3 linked regions of the Arabidopsis thaliana genome follow. The protein of the gene in region 2 interacts with the protein of the main gene of each other region in a biochemical or structural test. Each region holds a gene or a part of one and is shown on either strand. Other genes may lie near its edges. The genes, in order: CDG1, BSU1 and CDL1.

Evidence for each region.
Region 1: of the proteins of BSU1 (region 2) and CDG1, one has a biochemical effect on the other in vitro, tested with the Arabidopsis thaliana proteins (one study listed by BioGRID).
Region 3: of the proteins of BSU1 (region 2) and CDL1, one has a biochemical effect on the other in vitro, tested with the Arabidopsis thaliana proteins (one study listed by BioGRID).

Annotation. Positions count from the first base shown.
Region 1 is NC_003074.8:9,936,051-9,941,307, reverse strand, and holds CDG1 (Protein kinase superfamily protein), read left to right. Parts: upstream 1-2,002; 5' UTR 2,003-2,371; coding exon 2,372-2,468; intron 2,469-2,781; coding exon 2,782-2,975; intron 2,976-3,076; coding exon 3,077-3,266; intron 3,267-3,351; coding exon 3,352-3,752; intron 3,753-4,184; coding exon 4,185-4,601; 3' UTR 4,602-4,726; downstream 4,727-5,257. Other genes in the region: AT3G26950 (uncharacterized protein), read left to right, coding at 1-106. UniProt on the Arabidopsis thaliana protein: Serine/threonine-protein kinase involved in the positive regulation of brassinosteroid (BR) signaling and plant growth. Mediates BR signal transduction from BRI1 receptor kinase to BSU1 phosphatase.
Region 2 is NC_003070.9:853,888-861,673, forward strand, and holds BSU1 (Serine/threonine protein phosphatase family protein), read right to left. Parts: upstream 5,815-7,786; 5' UTR 5,713-5,814; coding exon 5,511-5,712; intron 5,406-5,510; coding exon 5,345-5,405; intron 5,193-5,344; coding exon 5,114-5,192; intron 4,964-5,113; coding exon 4,890-4,963; intron 4,807-4,889; coding exon 4,712-4,806; intron 4,330-4,711; coding exon 4,233-4,329; intron 4,154-4,232; coding exon 4,084-4,153; intron 3,913-4,083; coding exon 3,817-3,912; intron 3,742-3,816; coding exon 3,660-3,741; intron 3,551-3,659; coding exon 3,392-3,550; intron 3,207-3,391; coding exon 3,126-3,206; intron 2,954-3,125; coding exon 2,872-2,953; intron 2,765-2,871; coding exon 2,653-2,764; intron 2,558-2,652; coding exon 2,483-2,557; intron 2,408-2,482; coding exon 2,169-2,407; intron 2,057-2,168; coding exon 1,972-2,056; intron 1,900-1,971; coding exon 1,801-1,899; intron 1,715-1,800; coding exon 1,518-1,714; intron 1,444-1,517; coding exon 1,368-1,443; intron 1,280-1,367; and 9 more. Other genes in the region: AT1G03457 (RNA-binding (RRM/RBD/RNP motifs) family protein), read right to left, coding at 7,222-7,391, 7,481-7,624, 7,719-7,786. UniProt on the Arabidopsis thaliana protein: Phosphatase that acts as a positive regulator of brassinosteroid (BR) signaling. Dephosphorylates BES1, a transcription factor that regulates the expression of BR-response genes, thereby playing an important role in the regulation of response to BRs.
Region 3 is NC_003076.8:634,632-639,437, forward strand, and holds CDL1 (Protein kinase superfamily protein), read right to left. Parts: upstream 2,938-4,806; 5' UTR 2,744-2,937; coding exon 2,635-2,743; intron 2,192-2,634; coding exon 2,010-2,191; intron 1,925-2,009; coding exon 1,735-1,924; intron 1,660-1,734; coding exon 1,268-1,659; intron 1,178-1,267; coding exon 914-1,177; 3' UTR 576-913; downstream 1-575. Other genes in the region: GSTL3 (Glutathione S-transferase family protein), read left to right, coding at 225-227; PRR7 (pseudo-response regulator 7), read right to left, coding at 3,652-3,771, 3,875-4,544, 4,642-4,806. UniProt on the Arabidopsis thaliana protein: Serine/threonine-protein kinase involved in the positive regulation of brassinosteroid (BR) signaling and plant growth. Phosphorylates both BSU1 and BSL1 in vitro.

The sequences.
Region 1 (5,257 bases), on a different chromosome or scaffold from region 2:
AGCTTTCGGCATTGAGCTTTCCGGGTTTGGTACGGTTAACGAAGACCGGTTCCACGCCTATTGTAGCGCCAAGAAAGAGTACGTAAGCACTGTAACAATCATATAATGACTTCTTGAAAAAGATTCTGGACTCTTGGTTATAAATGGACTCACTGGTTTTATTCTTCAAATCTACTTCCCCTTCTTTAATTGAACCGGCCATATCAAACTTTTTGTTCTAAATAACCGGACCCAAACCGAATTAAGCAAACCGAACGCCCAGGCCTACGAGTAACTAGCTGGCCTCTTGGTTCAATATATGGTTTTACTACTCCCTTCTTAAATTGAACCGGCTTTCTTACCAGGTCTAAATAACTAAACCCAAACCGAACTAACTAATTAAACCGAAGTCAAATATATCCAGCTATAAGTAAGAGAAGACTTCTGGTGTTTATTAGAAACAAAGTAAGATTAAGAGAGGAATAAAGCTGGTGTCAGACATTAAAGATGGAACATCATCTCGTGGAATCAAACTTTTCCTAATACAAAAATTGATTCTCGGTTAGTGAAACTTCAATTTACTACCACTTGCAGATTGTTAATTTCATTATTATTATTCTCGTCGTTAGAAATTTGCTACTAACATTGCAAGTAGGTTCAGGTATAGGTGAGAGCTAGTTTAAGATGGACAAAACTAATTATGTAAGTAGTTCTTGTAAAATATGCATTTTAAAGGTAACAATTGCTATTTTGGTGTAAACTTTTGTAATGACTAAAAATAAATAATTGTGATGGAAATAAAATCTGATTACAAAAAGATTTGAGAACGTCATGATTCATTCATAATCATGTACTGTCTACCATACTTTTTATTCTACGTACTACCATACAATCTCCAAATTTTAAGAGTGGTATGGCTCCATGACTCACATCACATGATTTACATTACATATTGTACTAATGTCAGAACCTTAACCGATCGTAAAAACCGATCAACAACGTTAACCATCATTATTGACCGTTATCTGTCGTCATAAAATCTCGGCCAAGGCTTCTTTAAAGTCTTGGCTAAATCAAAAACAACTTTTGAATTTGAACCTCATAGTGGAGCTAGAGAAGAACACAACCAAGAATCAAATGTGTATACGTTCGTATAATTAATACTTGTTAATACTGTTTCCCTCTCCTCTTTCTTTAGTTTTGTTAATTACTAGACTTTTATGCACAAAATGATAAGAATGGAGTCATAAAATCCATAGAAACCATAAAAAAAAAGTTCCGATAATTATCATTATCGTATATTGAATAATGTGAAATAGAAGTTGAATGTGTTTCCAAATTTGGTTCGGAACTGTCTTATGTCTCAGACAGAGAATCTTTGATAAAATCTTTTAACTTACATTGCATGGATATATTGGCCTAAATTTTACCATTATCAGCGTTCCTTTTAATTTTGAGGTTAAACATAGGGAAAAGCATCTTGCCGTTTTCATCGTCTGTTAAAAATTATTGAGTTTTAGACTGGGAATCTTTAATACTTGTAGCTCACGTTACATGAATTTGTTTATCAAAATTTTGTTATTCTCTGCGGTTTTTGCAATACACTTAAAAATTATTTTGCACCAAAACCAACCAACAAAAAAAATTCTTCAATGAATTTCAAAAACGTTGATAATTTTTTTGTCGTTACGTCTATAGTTTTGGGCCTTTTTTGAATGCATAACAAACATAGTTATCATCTAATATATCACTATTAGAATTTAGAAATACTTAACGTGAGGATTATTTTCTAATTTTTGTCTTAAAAATTAGTTTAAATTCAGAATCCAACATTTATCACAATTATAAATTCCAGGGATATAAAGGAGAAACTTACTATAAAACAATTAACATTGTAGATTATTACCCTCAATGGCATAATAAAACAATAAATGATTTTATCTCATAGAAGCAATTGGTGAGTAACGTACCATATATATTGCACCCCCATGCTCTCTTTTGTTGATTACGTGTCTTTCCTTCCTATCAAAACCCCTTCAACCAAATCTTATCTAAATCCCCCAAAATTTTACGAAAACTCTCGATTTTAATCTAAATCTCCTTCCTTATCACCTCACAAATTTCTCGTGTTTTTTTGTAATCAATTTTTGATGGAAAATTATTCCCAAAACTCGAATCTCTGTTGATCGTGTGTTTCTTGGGGTTCGTCTGATTCCTTCAAAGTTTTCATCTTTTTGATAACAAAACCGTTAGTTCTTTGTCCTCGTGTGTGATCATCTCTTGAGCCCTATTGATAAACCATATAGAGAGTGTATGTGTGTGTATATCTTTGTTTATTGAGTGACACCAACAACAAAAAGATTATTTTCCTTGAGATTGATTAAAAGAAAACATGGTTAGTTGCTTGTGTTTTCGTCCCAGTCGGAAAACGAAGCTCAAAGACAAATCTCATAAGAGATCCATACGTAACCAGACATCCTCCTCTTCTGGTTCCTCTCACTTCCCTTTGATCTTTTTATTATTATTTATAGATTAATCTTGAGATTAGTCATCTTTAATACCAGTCATTAGTAGTAAATCATGATAAAATCTCCCTTTTCTTTTAAATAGCTTATTTATTAATGATACATATAGTATTTGTCTTGTGATTAGTTTATACGGATCGTACAAATCCCGGCTTAGGGTTTGTGTTTTATAGTTCAAAGATTTGTGTATTTGGCTGATAAATGTCTTTTTAATCTACTTGTGATCCAATAACATATGTGATATAGTCTCTCATTGTGTTGTTTTGTTCCTCTGTAGCCCAACCAGCTGGAACAGCAAAAGAAGTAGATTCGTCAAGTTCACAAACCGTAGTGCAAGATTCTTCTAGATACAGATGTCAGATTTTCTCATACAGAGAACTCGCCATCGCGACTAACAGCTTCAGGAATGAATCTTTGATCGGAAGAGGTGGATTTGGAACTGTGTATAAAGGAAGGCTAAGCACTGGACAGGTAATCTATTATTAACATTTGGACTAATCAAATCAATAATCTTGTCGTTGTGAAATCTCTAACTGTTTGTCATTGTGCTTTGTTGTTGGTCTTAATTCAAGAACATAGCTGTTAAAATGCTTGATCAGTCTGGTATTCAAGGAGACAAAGAGTTTCTTGTGGAAGTCCTAATGCTCTCGCTCTTGCACCACCGAAACCTAGTGCATTTGTTCGGTTATTGTGCTGAAGGCGATCAAAGACTCGTTGTCTATGAATACATGCCTCTTGGATCTGTAGAAGATCATCTCTACGGTAAAAAAAAAACTACACTCAAACCAAGAAATTTTCAAGAACGAGATTCATTAAAGTTTTTTAAATTCTTGTGTTGTTTTGTCAGATCTTAGCGAGGGTCAAGAGGCTTTAGATTGGAAGACAAGGATGAAGATAGCTCTAGGAGCGGCTAAAGGGTTAGCGTTTCTTCACAACGAAGCACAACCTCCTGTGATATACAGAGATTTGAAAACTTCAAACATATTGTTGGATCATGACTATAAACCTAAGCTCTCAGATTTTGGACTTGCAAAGTTTGGTCCAAGTGATGATATGTCTCATGTCTCTACTAGAGTTATGGGAACTCATGGGTATTGTGCACCAGAGTACGCGAACACCGGGAAGTTGACGCTGAAATCTGATATTTATAGCTTTGGAGTTGTGCTGCTGGAGCTTATCAGTGGACGCAAAGCTCTTATGCCCTCATCCGAATGCGTTGGTAATCAAAGTCGCTATCTTGTGCATTGGGTAATCCTCTCAACCTTATTTTGCTTAAGGATGGATTAGTTTTTTCCTTATGACCATTTATAGGCTTTGCTTCTTTTAGACTATATAACCAGATTATATCTATCTAAATTCCAATTTTGCTTAAGAGAAAAATTGTTTTGATGGTGACCTTTTGGTCGATTTTGCATAATTATACCGTTTACGATTTAGGGTTTAGGGTTTAGATTAATCAATTAACCATTAAACCATATGCTATCAATTTTGATTTTTCGTAAAAATGGTAGTGGTTTTACTATTGACCTTTAACCATATATAGGTTTTGATTTTGGTTATGCTGATGAAAAAGAGTTTCGTGTTATGGCCCTTAATGATGTGTGGATACGTATTAGACTAATGAATGTTCCGATTTTGATGACGACATGTTCATGTGTTTCTTTTTTTTTTTCTTAACAGGCACGACCGTTGTTCTTGAATGGCAGAATAAGGCAGATTGTAGATCCAAGGTTAGCAAGAAAAGGCGGTTTTTCGAATATACTTCTTTATAGAGGTATTGAAGTGGCCTTTCTGTGCCTAGCAGAAGAAGCAAACGCTAGACCATCGATCAGCCAAGTCGTGGAGTGTCTTAAGTATATCATTGATCACACAATTAGGAAGGAAAGGAGAACTAGGCGTAGACTACTAGGAGGAAATAAGGATGGGGCGGGGACATCGAGGTCACCGGATGAGACAATGATGAGGATGTTAGAAGAAGAAGAAGAATACGTAACTAGTGAAGAAGCTATTGAGAGAAGGAGGGTAATCGTGGATGATGCTCGTACTTGGGCCGGTATGAATAGGAGAGGGGCTACGCCACCAACTCCGACTCCATGAAAGTGAAGTAAATTTTTATTAACTTGTTTTTCAAGTTATATTTGGTTAAGTTTGTTTGGTGAGACTATTGTTAGAAACCAAATTTTGTTAAAACATTTAAACATGGCAATTTAGTTAATACTAGATTTATGTTTGTTTTTATATATGTACTAACATCAAATTGATTTCTTACAAATTTCATCTGCTTCAATAACTTCGGTTTATTTAATTCGATTAAGATTTTGTTTCATAACAAAAAAATTAATATTTTGGACGTAAACTTTTTCATTTCATTTTTTTTAATATTTAATTTTATTATATTGAATCAAAAATTACATGGTTATCAATAAACATACACATACAACCAATATTTAGGTAAAACAAAATAATCGAAAAAGTAAAATCGCACGTTGCTTCTTTCGATAGGTAGGACTTATATGCTACCAGAGAAATAATTCTGTTACTTTTTTTATTCGTTTTCATCTTTGATCTTCTTTTTTTTACTATCGCCTTTTTGATGAAACTACAATAAGTTCTTCAAAAATTATTAGTTGCGATCCATCTGTTACATCGCAAATCATACAAATTTTTTTTAGTTGTAGAAAACATGATTGTTTATATAGCGACTTGTTTTCCATATAGATATTCCTTCTTCACAGCCTCCAACACCGGTATCA
Region 2 (7,786 bases):
GCTTTCTTATATAATACTATGTTTTTATTTTTTTGGTTAAAGTTTTTGAGGAACAGAGTGTTTCATCGTGTTAAAAAAAAACTTTTAAAGGAAAAAACGATTCGTTTATTCGTTGGTGAGAATGAAGATTAGAGTTTTGGTGTGTACAAGTGTCTTTGGAATAAGGATTATATTGATGTGAGGATGAAGATTGTCCACTATCCATCGTTTCTGCGTATTTAAAATTGGAAAATGATGGTTTTGTTTTATTGAAGAGTGTTCAAAATGGTTTCATGAATGATCTTGTTTACCAAAATTTGTTTTCAGAAAAGTAATAACTTAAAATTCGTTTTAATAGAAAAAAAGGAGTGGGAGATGACAAATGAGTAAGCAGTTTCAGTTCAAATGAAATAAAAAAATTCATAGGAAAATAAATGAGTAATCAATTCTAGAAATCAAAACATTTATGAACACAACAATCAGAATGATAATGGAATGGGAATATTTTTTTGGTAATGAATGGAATGGGAATATATGCTTTTTAAGTTTCAACCTCATAACCATTTATTAAAATTATAAAAGTAGAAATAAATCAGGCAAAATGGAATAATGAACAATTGTTTTCCAAACTTAAGTATATTAAAGAAAATCACTTTTAAAATTGTCCTCTGCCAATACCAAAATAGAAAGAAATGAAAAGAAAAAGGTTCCGGTACACTTGTGCAGCTTGCAAATGAAACATTTACACCTCTTCAACCGCACAACTTCTATACCAAATATCTGCCTTTATTCACTTGACTCCCCTCGAGCTGGAGTAGGCGGCATCTCGATGTTCAGCTCCTGAGTCCATCACAAAAGTACTTAAAAGCTCGGTTACCACAACATGTTTCATATGCTCAATATCTATTCTATATGGTAAAGAAACGGGAGGCTTACCTGCATCCATGCTTTGTCTGTATAGTCTTCTTCTGAAGATGAGATGGGAGGAGGGTGAGGATGAATCAGCTTAGGATAAATTACCATATCTCTACCAATTACCAATATTGCTCCCGCATTTTGTGCAGTTCCTGCTCATCACACACACAATGTTTTTTATTCACATGCCTATTATATGTATGCAAATGTCGAAATAAATGAAAGTTTCTATAAACATAACAAATGTACCACAGTAATTTGTAGCAGAAAAGACTGTTATAAGCCGTCCGTCAGCGAATCTTTCAAAGCCGTCAATAACACACTCGTGTGCTCTTAGTATCATCTCCAGACCATTCCTTTCTAGAAATGCCTTGACTATATCAGGCTTCATTTATAAGACAAGAATATGCGTTAGTAGTTGAGCTTGAAAATGGTATTCATAAAGTAAAAGATAAATAAGGAATAGGCCTAACCCCAAATGAGACAACACCTTCTCCTCTGGCATTGTCTACTATACCCAAAACAGTGTCATTCATCGTAGGATCTGACCTGTTTATCCATAAAAAAATGTTATTACACAGCTTGGAAAGAAAAAAAGTTAGAAATAGTTGAGAGTATGTTACCATAAGATGTCTTTCAAGACCATTGATCCAGTATCCGGGAATGCCGGCCTTTCGATATTTTCAATTTCTTCGATCGTAACTGCCCTCCCAATTCCGCCATGGACACACAAAACTTTCTTTTCTAGAAGTGCAGCAAGCGGAAGATAATCAAAAACTTGATTAATCTTTAACCATGCTTCGAACCCATAGGACTCGCCCTGGTAACGTACAGAACAAGATTATATATGTTACTTCATTAATTAGCCAATGACAATGAGAATATATATTCTCTGAAGAGACGTACCATTCTTTCTTCGCATTCTGTAAGAAAACCATAAATTCTATTCATTGCAAGAGACTCATGATTTCCACGAATCAAGTGGATGTTCTTCGGATATTCTATCTGCGTATAAGAGACAGATCTTAGAAGATACTAAAATCAAAAAGTCATAACATATAAGAAAGAATATCTTACCTTCAAAGCAAACAGCAACATGATGATCTCCAAGCTGTGTTGTCCACGGTCAACATAATCTCCCAAAAACAAATAGTCTATATGGCTGATGAAGACGTATATATATTTAGACACACACACAACGATTGGTTCAGTGACTAATATTCATGAACAAAACTCAAAAACCAGTAAAAACATGCTAGGAAGCTTGAACTTACGTGATATCTCCTTCCACTGAAGGATGTCCATATTCATGAAATAAACGCATCAAATCCCCGTATTGTCCATGGATATCGCCGAAGACTTTGATTGGAACTTTGAGCTGAAGAAGTGTTGGTTCATTCATAAATATTTTCTCTACCTCATCGCACAAATGCTTAACTTCTAAATAACTCAAGAAAAAATCTCTGTTGGCAGGAGGCGTCCAGGTTTTAGGTCTCAACAGTGTCGAAATGACCTGCAAAGCAAGCAACGTGTAAGTGCATGAAGATGGGAATATATGCTGAAAGCAAGATCATATATATATATACACCTTCTTATGCAAGTCTTGAGTAGATTGATCCAAGCTTGCAGTTCTCACCAAGCCACCTCGATTTCCAACCGTCTCCTTTGAAATCACAACCAACACTCATTTATTGAACATATAACATTCTATATAAAGAAAGATAGAGGAGTGAAGGAAAAAAATATTATTCCACATACAGCTCCATGTTGAAGTGGAACGTATCCTTCAATAGCACTATCATAAAAAGCATTTTCGATAGTTGGTAAGTTATGTGCCTCTGCCAATCTATCCATCGCAATTTCACTTGTGCTGATATCATTATGGAAGAAAGAAGGATTTGTTTAAAAAAACAAAAAAACCTATATAGGATTAAGCACAGAACAAAAGAGTGTAGAAAAGTGTGTACGAGTATAGACCTCCTCATTATAAAGGATGAAGCTTCTGGTTCAGAACTTAAAGGCTTAGGTTCATCCATTAGATAGTCGTCGAGCAACATATCTACACGAGAATAAAATTCAAGCAATTATTGTTAAAAGAAACTTTGTTACTTTTAACTCAAGGAAGAAATCTGCAAACTTGGAAAAAGTCAAATTGATTAGTGCTTAGATATGCAAAAACCATAGGACTAATATATGAAAGTCAAAACTATATAAGTTTCCTTTGATTTTACAATTATCAGGATTATCTTCTTCTGGTTCAGGACTTGAAGACTGGGATGTTTCAGCAACTAGCAAATCGTCGAGCAATACATCTACACAAGAATAAAAACAACAATGGAATTGTCATAAATATTGTTACTTTGCCTTAACTCAAAGAAGATGAATAAAAACAATGAAATTGACTAGTGCTAAGATATGCAAAATCCATCTCAAAAAACAAAATTTGTATAAGTTCCTTTTATTTTAATGTCAATATAATTTAAAAATTCAGGGCTACCTTCTCTAATCCCGCCATGCACATATAGGTGGCTGCCAAACGATGCAGCAGCATGGTGACAACGTCGCATAAGTTGATATTGATTTTGTCTATTGGCGCCGCTCGCAGAGGTCTCTGGTTGATTGGTATCTACCCATTCACCAGTCTCAGTATCAAGCACTGCAAGGAAGTTTTTTTTTTTTCCATAACATTATCCACTACTAAGTCTGATATATATCTGATAAGGATCAAACTCAGATTCTCTAGAAAACAGCGGTTAGATATTTACCAGCAACAACTGCTTCACCATCGATTAGGCGAGCCCTATTCAGTATACCCCCAATGACATGCAGTTTTGAACCTCCGAAAACCTAATAAGAGAGACAATGAAGTTAAGGAAGTTTTTGCAAAAGATAGGATTAGAGCATGGAAGTGTTGGTTCTCACCGCAGTATGTTGATATCTCGGGGAAGGAGCTACAGCTGGAACAGGAGTCCAAACATTATCGCTATCCATTTTCAGCCCGTAAGTATCTCCCAGTGTCTGGAAAAGGCAAGCATTAGGGTGTATATACATGTCACAATTCAATGAAAGAGATTGGAAAAACAAAAGGTTGGCTATTGTAGTAAACAAGAACTTCGACTTTTTAAAACTTCTATGTCCTATTTACATAAAATAATCTATGTAATTTTAATTAGGGAAGAAATATTATACCACTCCTGAGTGATCTATTCCACCGCAGAGCAAAAAAATACCATCTTCTCGAGAACTACCTGAAGCATACCTACAAAAATGTTAAACAATGAAGAGTTATAACTCAAAGCAATGTGTTAGAGTATACTTAAATCAACTAAATTACTAACATTCTCCCACTTGGCTGATTGCCAGACGGGTTCAATCTGTCCCATGAAAATGGTCCACGCGTGTCCAATGCCCATGTATCATCCAGAATTTCATTTCCTACTCCATAGACAAAAGTCGTTTTAGGATGTTTAAATATGACATTTTTACAAAATAAAATAGGATAATGATAACCGAAATTAAAGTTCCTTCGTAGAAACATAAATGAAAACATTGTTGGAAGATATATACATATTTGTTTCGCTAAGATAATTTTGAAATGCCAAATATAGATTAGGAATTTGTTCGATGGAGACATTCTCCCTTTCTGAGGGAAACATATCATGCATCTAAATGTTTTCTTACTTATGGATGTACTATATGATATATTGATATGTATAAGTTAAACAGAAAACTGAAGCTATATATACGATTACAAAATGCAAAAGAGAGACAACATATATCAATGCCAAACGAAAGCGGAAAACATAGATAGACGTACCATTATTCCCGCTGAATATGACAAGCCACCTCTGAGCAGCTATATCCATAACATGGCCATAGCGAGGGCTTGGAGTCTCCCCTCCAACCAGAAACCTGAACGGACATTAAATGCGTAAAAAAAAATTCAGTAACAAAATAGATCTAGCAAAGATTTATAAATTCATAAATGAACTGACTTAATCCACTTGTTATTAGTCATGTCAAGCATGTAGACATCTCCATCAGAAGGTCCGGATGGACCAATCCCACCCTGCCAACAACAAAAACGACATGCTCATATGTTAGATCATAGACTATTGCAACCTAAACATCCATCGTGACATATGTAAACTTCATGAACGATGCTATGACAATCAAATTAAAACAAAATCTTTCCAGATCTGTGTTCTCGGACAATCACCTGAATAAGGATCAAGGTGCCATATAAAGCGGCAGCATGACAAGCCCTGGGAGACGGAACGTCACCAATCGGATTAAGCCTACACAATTACGAATCGTTACAAAGAGATCCTATTAGAATAATGAACTAAATGATTTCCTAAATTCTAATAAGATCCACCTCTTCTAAACCAATTGAAATCATCAATAAGAAAAAAAAAACCTAGAAACAAACATCAAGATCCTCAATTACCTTGTCCACTTCCTGGTCAAAACATCAAAAGAATGGACCGAATTGGTGACGCCATCTAAACCTAGAAAAACAAATCACATTACAAGAAACAAAGCCATCATCATCAGAGAGGATCTCGAAATCTCAAAACCCTAAAAATTTCGAAAAATCGGGAGTAAAATCTTACTGATCTCGGGTAAGGAGGAGTTATGGTTGGCGACGGCAGTAGTACTGCCGCCGAAGAGGATAAGCTGATGGGAATTGTTGACGAAAACCGCCGTGAGAGTATGGCCGCATCTAGGACCCGGCCAATCCTCATCGGTATCGTAAAAGGTCTGTATCGATTCATACGAAGGAGATGGATATTGATAAGATTGATCAGGAGCCATAACACAATATTTTGTGGTGGAGAAAGGTGGTGAAATCCAATCGCCTTCGTCTCCATTTTATAGCCTAAAATTTGTCCACGAGCGCACTCTTTTAGTTTTGGTAAGCAAATAATGAAGTTTAGACTCCGACGAAATTTCTTGAATGGCATTGGTGTCCAACGGCTAAGCGATTAGTGAAATTACGAAAATGCCCACGCTATATAGTCTTTGAATGGCGCTTATTGCCTCGTTTGCTGGTCGTTGTTCAATAATTTTTTTCCCTTTCGTACAAAATGGTAAAATAGAAATACGACGCGTTTTAAAAAGTGCGCGGCATACTTGTTCTCGAGACTTTTTGTATATTGTTTCCTCCAATTTGATAGTTTTATCGACCGGACCGGAATAGACTTTTTGGTATATTTATTGTTTTAATTTTATTTTTAAATGATAAAGTTAAGGTTTTAGCAAAGTTTTCCAACTCTCTAATTTTCATAATGACTAGATTTCTTTCCGAAAAATCAATCTATTTTATTAATTAAAAATGTATGTTCATTGTAATTTATTTAAGAATACGACCTCCCATTTATAAGAAATATATTTACTGCCAAAAGAAGAAGAATATAATATACAGTCATTTATATAAAATATAATTGTGGACCTTTTAGTTAATTATACCAAATAAGAGATAATAATTATATTAATTATCAATTAATGAGTTGTGGACCCTTTGTTGATTTTTAAAAGTAATTAAAATATATTAGGACTATTTTAATTTTAAAATGAAATGTGGACCTATAATTTTAATTACCAAATGATAACATGTGAGCTGTATATTGAGATTTAATATAAAAACTTAAATTTAAAGTCTTAGAACATTTTGATTTCTTTATATATTTTGATCTTTACTCTACTAAAAAAAAAAGGATACGAAAATAAAATGTTTGAATTGTCAACAACTCAACATTACTTGATTCATTTTAATCAATTCATCTATAATATTGCAACATTTTTGTATATATGCAGTTTCTTAATAGTCAAGAATATATTACATCGTTGACTCTGTTTTATCCATCAGGGAGCAGAAGCACAACAATACTGTTAGAGAGAAAACAAGGAGAGAAAAATCCTCCAATTTTCTGGAAAAAAACTACAATCAAACATTCTTAAAGAAGTCTTCAAGAACGGGACTTTTAAGAATGAACAAGATTAATAAATGAAATTATAATGGTTAATAATCATAACATTTATACATGAACTTTTCAATGATAGACATAAGTCACAAATTGACAAAGTTTAGAAAAGAGAAAAATAGAAGAAGAGTGAGTGGAAGAGAATCCTTTTGCATGAAGATACAGCTTTTCTGAGTGATTGAGAATTTCTGACCCACATGATCAGACTTGGCAAATGTTAGTTAATTACGGCCATCAACTTTTTGTTCTCCAGTTCCATCAAGATCCATCTTAGTGTCTCAACCGGATTTGCCGTTAACCGCACAGCGAACTCTTAATGATGAAGAGATGTCAGTGGTTTTTACGAGTTTAATAAACCGTTAAATAACGGGTTTTTACTCTGTTGTTGTTGCTGCTGTTGACCGTTGTCTCTCTTAAGCTGGACTTTCAATTTCTTACCGCTTAATTGGCAACCGTTCATTGTGTTAATAGCGTTCTGAGCAGCTGCCTGTGAGTCATAACTAATGAATCCTGCGTGCAGCAACAAAAGGGTTGCGTAACGGTTAATTCGAGTCTAGGGGAAAGAATGAAGATGATAGAGGAAGAAAGCAAGAGCTTACCGAAACATTTGCTTATACCAGTGGCCTTGTCTACAAACACCTTGGCGCTTAGAACCTTACCAAAAGGTTGAAACGTAGCCGCGAGTTCTTGATCCTCGAATTCCCGAGGTATGTTATAAATAAATAGATTCGCACCTGCTGGTCCTGAGAACATCAAAGAAATTGCTTTAAATATCAGTAACATAACGACTAGAAACTTATCAAAATCTTATTTGTTCTTGTTTTGGACTAACTAAACCTTCTGTTTGAAGCGAGGAAGGTATCGATGTGCCGTTATTAGAAATTCCAGGTGAAACTGTGGTTAGA
Region 3 (4,806 bases), on a different chromosome or scaffold from region 2:
GTTAGTTTTCTGTTTTGGGAATGAAAACCGAGTCGGTTTAGCATCTGGCTCAGAGACAATCTCATCTTTCTCCAACGAGCGTTTTGCGACTTAGACGTTTTGAAAGCAAAGACCATGCACTAATCATCAGCTAGCCTATTACTATGGCCAAATGACTTGTTTAATACTTTCTCGGTTAATGGTCTATACTAAATGTGAGTCTAATTCCGGTTATATTCTTGCAGTAACTGTAAGCAAGCACGAAGCAGTAAAGTGTATGAGACCAAACCACCTTGTACGAACAGGTGGTCTTTGGATATGAAGAAATAAGATGTGTACTTGAACCTGATGATGCAATAAGATTTGTACTTTAAGCAGCAACAGCTTAATCTGTATTCTAGTGTTGATCAAATTATCAACCATTGACATTGTTAATATATTACTGTATGATAGTAATACTATCAAAATCTCACACATTAAGAACCAGATGATGCAATAAGGATAAGGTGTATAGTTAACTTGCAGCAACAGCTTGATCTATATTTGACTGTTCACCAATAATCAATCCTTGACATTGTAATATGATATCAATACAATCAAAATCTCACACATTAAAGTTTTGAAAACTATAGTACTTTAATATTTATACAATAACTTTGGAATCGAAGCAGACATCCTCAGTACAATAATGAGAAATTGTCACATTTGAAAGCAAGCGCTCAATAAACATTACATTAAACAACATCACCTATAACAACATTATAAACCGGCCTCTATATGAATCTATCTCTTCTTACACATATCTACAAGTAGCTCTTAAGCCATACATTCACACTTAGTCTGAAAATCATCCACCTTTCCTCTCCAAGAAAGACAGCACGGAATGGGTTTAAGCTACATAACTTACACAGCATTGCGGTTCTCGGGATTATTTTCAGACCCTCTTTGATCTAGGTGGAGTCCCTGGAGCGAAAAGGGATCCTTGGACTGGCTGAGCCAGAGGATCAAACTTTTGGGAGGCGAGGTAAGAAAGTGCAGTGACGACGTCAGCAATGAGAGGTCTAAGATTTGGCTGCTCTTGTACGCACATCGCTGCTACAGCGAGTGCTTGGTATAACCCTCGCGGAGGGTATTGACCTTGAAGCATTGGATCAGCCATCTGAGAGAATTTCCTCCTGTCTTTAAACAAAGGCCTTGCCTGACATAGAGAGCATTTCAAAGAATACAATTAGAAGGAAGAATCCGCAGAGAAAACAAAGTTTGTTCCCAATTTGTTTTTTTTTCTTACCCATGCGACTAGATTCTGTTCTCCAGTAGATCTTGAACTGTCTATTGCTTTCCGACCAGTTATAATCTCCAACAGAACAACACCGAAGCTGTAAACGTCTGATTTGAGTGTTAGCTGGCCTGTCATTGCATACTCGGGAGCACAGTATCCGTATGTTCCCATAACCCGAGTGGACACATGAGACTTGTCCCCAACTGGGCCAAGTTTAGCCAACCCGAAGTCGGATAGCTTTGGAAAGTAATCATCATCGAGCAAAATATTTGAGCATTTCAAATCTCGATAGATCACTGGAGGCATGGTTTTGTCATGCAGATACTCCAAACCTTTTGCAGCACCGGCAGCTATTTTCATTCTGGTGTTCCAGTCAAGTGGCTGCTTACCAGGTGAAATGTCTGAAATAAAAAAAGCATCACCCGATTGAAATTTAAAGACTTCTCATAGGCATGTGTGATCTTAGAAGCGCATACCGTGCAAATGATCTTCAAGTGAACCTAGGGGCATGTACTCGTAGACTAGAAGCCTTTGATCTCCATCAGCACAATATCCTATTAAGTTAACAAGATTCGGGTGATGAAGAAGACTCAACATGAGAACCTCGACGAGGAACTCCCTGTTTCCTTGTAAACCATTATGATCAAGTTGCTTGATAGCCGCTGTCTACAAATGAAGATATAATGACAGTGAGCTTTCACTACCAAGAAGATTCAAAAGGTTAAAACCAAGCAAAAAAAAGGGAAGGAACCTGGCTAGTGCTGGCCAAGTATCCTTTGTAAACTCTACCAAATCCTCCTTCTCCTATAAGACATTCTTTTCTGAAGTTTCTAGTGGCAGTAGCTAACTCAGAGAATGTAAACGTTTGTGCCACAATGTGATCAGAGCCTTTACTTTTGGATTCACTCAAGGACGACTTGGCCCTAGATTTCTCTACAAAAAAAGAAAGAAAAGAAAGCGATAAGAAGAAATAATTAATCAACACAAGCTGAGCATAATTGTCTCAAGGTCAATAATCAACAAATTAAAGTTCTAAGAATATAGCAAGATACTTAAGGATCTAGCAAGTCCCATTTAAGAGTTTAATCCACAACTTCCACTGGAGAGCAATAACAACAATTAACAGGAAAGAGACATGCAATAACACATCACTGTCAAAATACTAACACAGGTGTTACAGAGTAGTCAAAAGCTAGTGAAATGGAAGGAAAAAAGCAATCTTTAAACAGAAAGTCAAAAACCCTAATCAGCATTAGCAAACGATGATGGCTCACAGGAATCAGAAAGTTTTAGCAAAGGATAAAAATTTCCATAATTTAGTAAGAGAAGGTTAAACCCAGAATTAAAATTGGACAAAGACTATAAAGAGAAATTACCTGAAGTAGACACAGAACAATCAGAAGACTTCCTGTCGAGTTTGTGGTCACCGTTCCTCCTTGTCTTATTCCTCCCACTCGATTTCCCAGAACACGGGATCCAACCCATTAAGCTTCTCACGATCTTCTTCTTCTTCAAATGATTCTTCGTTTCGATTGTGTTCGATGATCTCAAAAGCGAGAGAGAGAGAGAGAAGCTTAGAGAACTTTGAAATGTAAAAAAAGCACGCCAAGCCAATCGCTGGATTTTTCGATTTTTCTCTTTTGATATAAAATATATTTTTAAAACAATTTAATTTTTGTGATACAAATTAATGTGAATGGGTTTGACTTTGACAAATAAAAATTAATTGTCAAAGAAAAAAAGACAAACAAAAATTATATTTTATCAAAGTAGTATCAACTAACTACCCCCATGGAATTTAAATTTCTTTTCAACACACAAAAAGAGATTATTTGATTGAATAAATTTCTTGTGTTGTAAGTTGTAACAATATTGAAATTGAACTTTAATAAGCAACAATCGTGGTCACCATTATAGTTTCCAATCATTTGGGTATAAGAGATTGATTATTCCTATTTTAAAATGGTGTTTATCAAAGACAGATTTTTTCTAAGAATATATATATTTACGATATAAGCTAAATGATATTGAAAGAGATAATGTTGATACAATACGACACCGTACTATGCACGGCTCCAAAAGCAAGCTTATACCAAAAAATATACAGAGAAGGGGTTATTGTTTTACAAGTTTACAACATCTACAAAGATTTCACTACATCCTGAAACCAAACCCTTCGTCCTAATTTCACAAACCAGACCAGACAACGACAATAATAACAAACAATCAAATGTCGTAGTGTCTTTGTTTCGTGAATAGTAGTAGTATTATCAAAGAATCAGACTTTGAAGGGAAAATGTTAAAACATGTGATAGATATATATATATAAGATAGATATGAGCACATTACTCATGTTTTTGGGCTGAGAAATAGTGGGTTTTGTTGATTTTCCGTTAGCTATCCTCAATGTTTTTTATGTCGTTATCATCAGTTGCAGCGGCTGTTTTACGCACAAATTGGCCTCGCACTCGAGGGCGTTGTTCTGCTAGTTTTTTCCGGCTTTGGTATCGTACCTGAGAAAGCCAAAAAAAAAACATTTTTGCGGTTTGCATTTGCTTTCGCAATTTACAAGAATACTTTTTTTTTCCTTTGTTATAGATTTGACCGAGAATTTACCTTCTTTCGGAAGCACCTCTCTTTTCTCTTCTGACGGAACTTTGTCAAAGCAGCTTCCCTTTGAGAGATCTTATTTTCATCCGCCAAGTTTCCGCTACCACTTCCACTTCCGCTTCCACTACCATCGCCATTTCCATTTTTGCCAGCACCATTATCACTTCCCATATTCATTCCTCCAGCATTCATACCGTTACTGCTTCCATATGGCCCATTACTTCCATGACCACTACCTGATACACTTCCATTCACACTGTAATTCACTGTGTTGTTGTTACCTTCAATCGTTTCGTTGTACACATTTGAGGATCCACATTGTGGCGGTAGCTTCTTCCTCTCAGCGACATGGACAAGGTTATAGGAGGCATGATTATTATGATGATCACAGGGTAAAGGCTGAAACGATGAATGCTTCACTGATGAAGATCCTGCTGAGCTTACTTTTGGAGCTCCTGGTTTTGTGAAAGCGTTGTTCTCAGTCGTGGAACTCATATCAAAGTTATTGCTACCGACATGTGAGCGATGATTATGGGGGAGACTCTCATTCATGTTCGAGTGACAATCATATGCTGCTTCAGTCTTTTTTATAAGATCCTGACTATTATTATCCTGAAGCGAAGTGCTTCCTAAGTTCCCACCAGAAATCTTATTGGCATTTGAGGCTGGATTATACCTGCACAAGTCCAACAGTCGATCTCATAGTTCTTCAATAAGGCATTCAAAAGGTTGTGTACGGAAGAAAAAACAGAGGTTTGATTCTAAGAAAGTACCTTGAGAAAGCTGAGCCCTCTGAACGCCTCAGCACATTCCGATCATCCCTAACTAGTGTCCCATCATCTTTAGTTCCTCTATGCCTCTTTGAACTATGTTCCACGTGCATTAGCTCTTCAGAAATTTTAACAGAAGCTTCATTTGTATCTAAAGTTTTCAAGTGA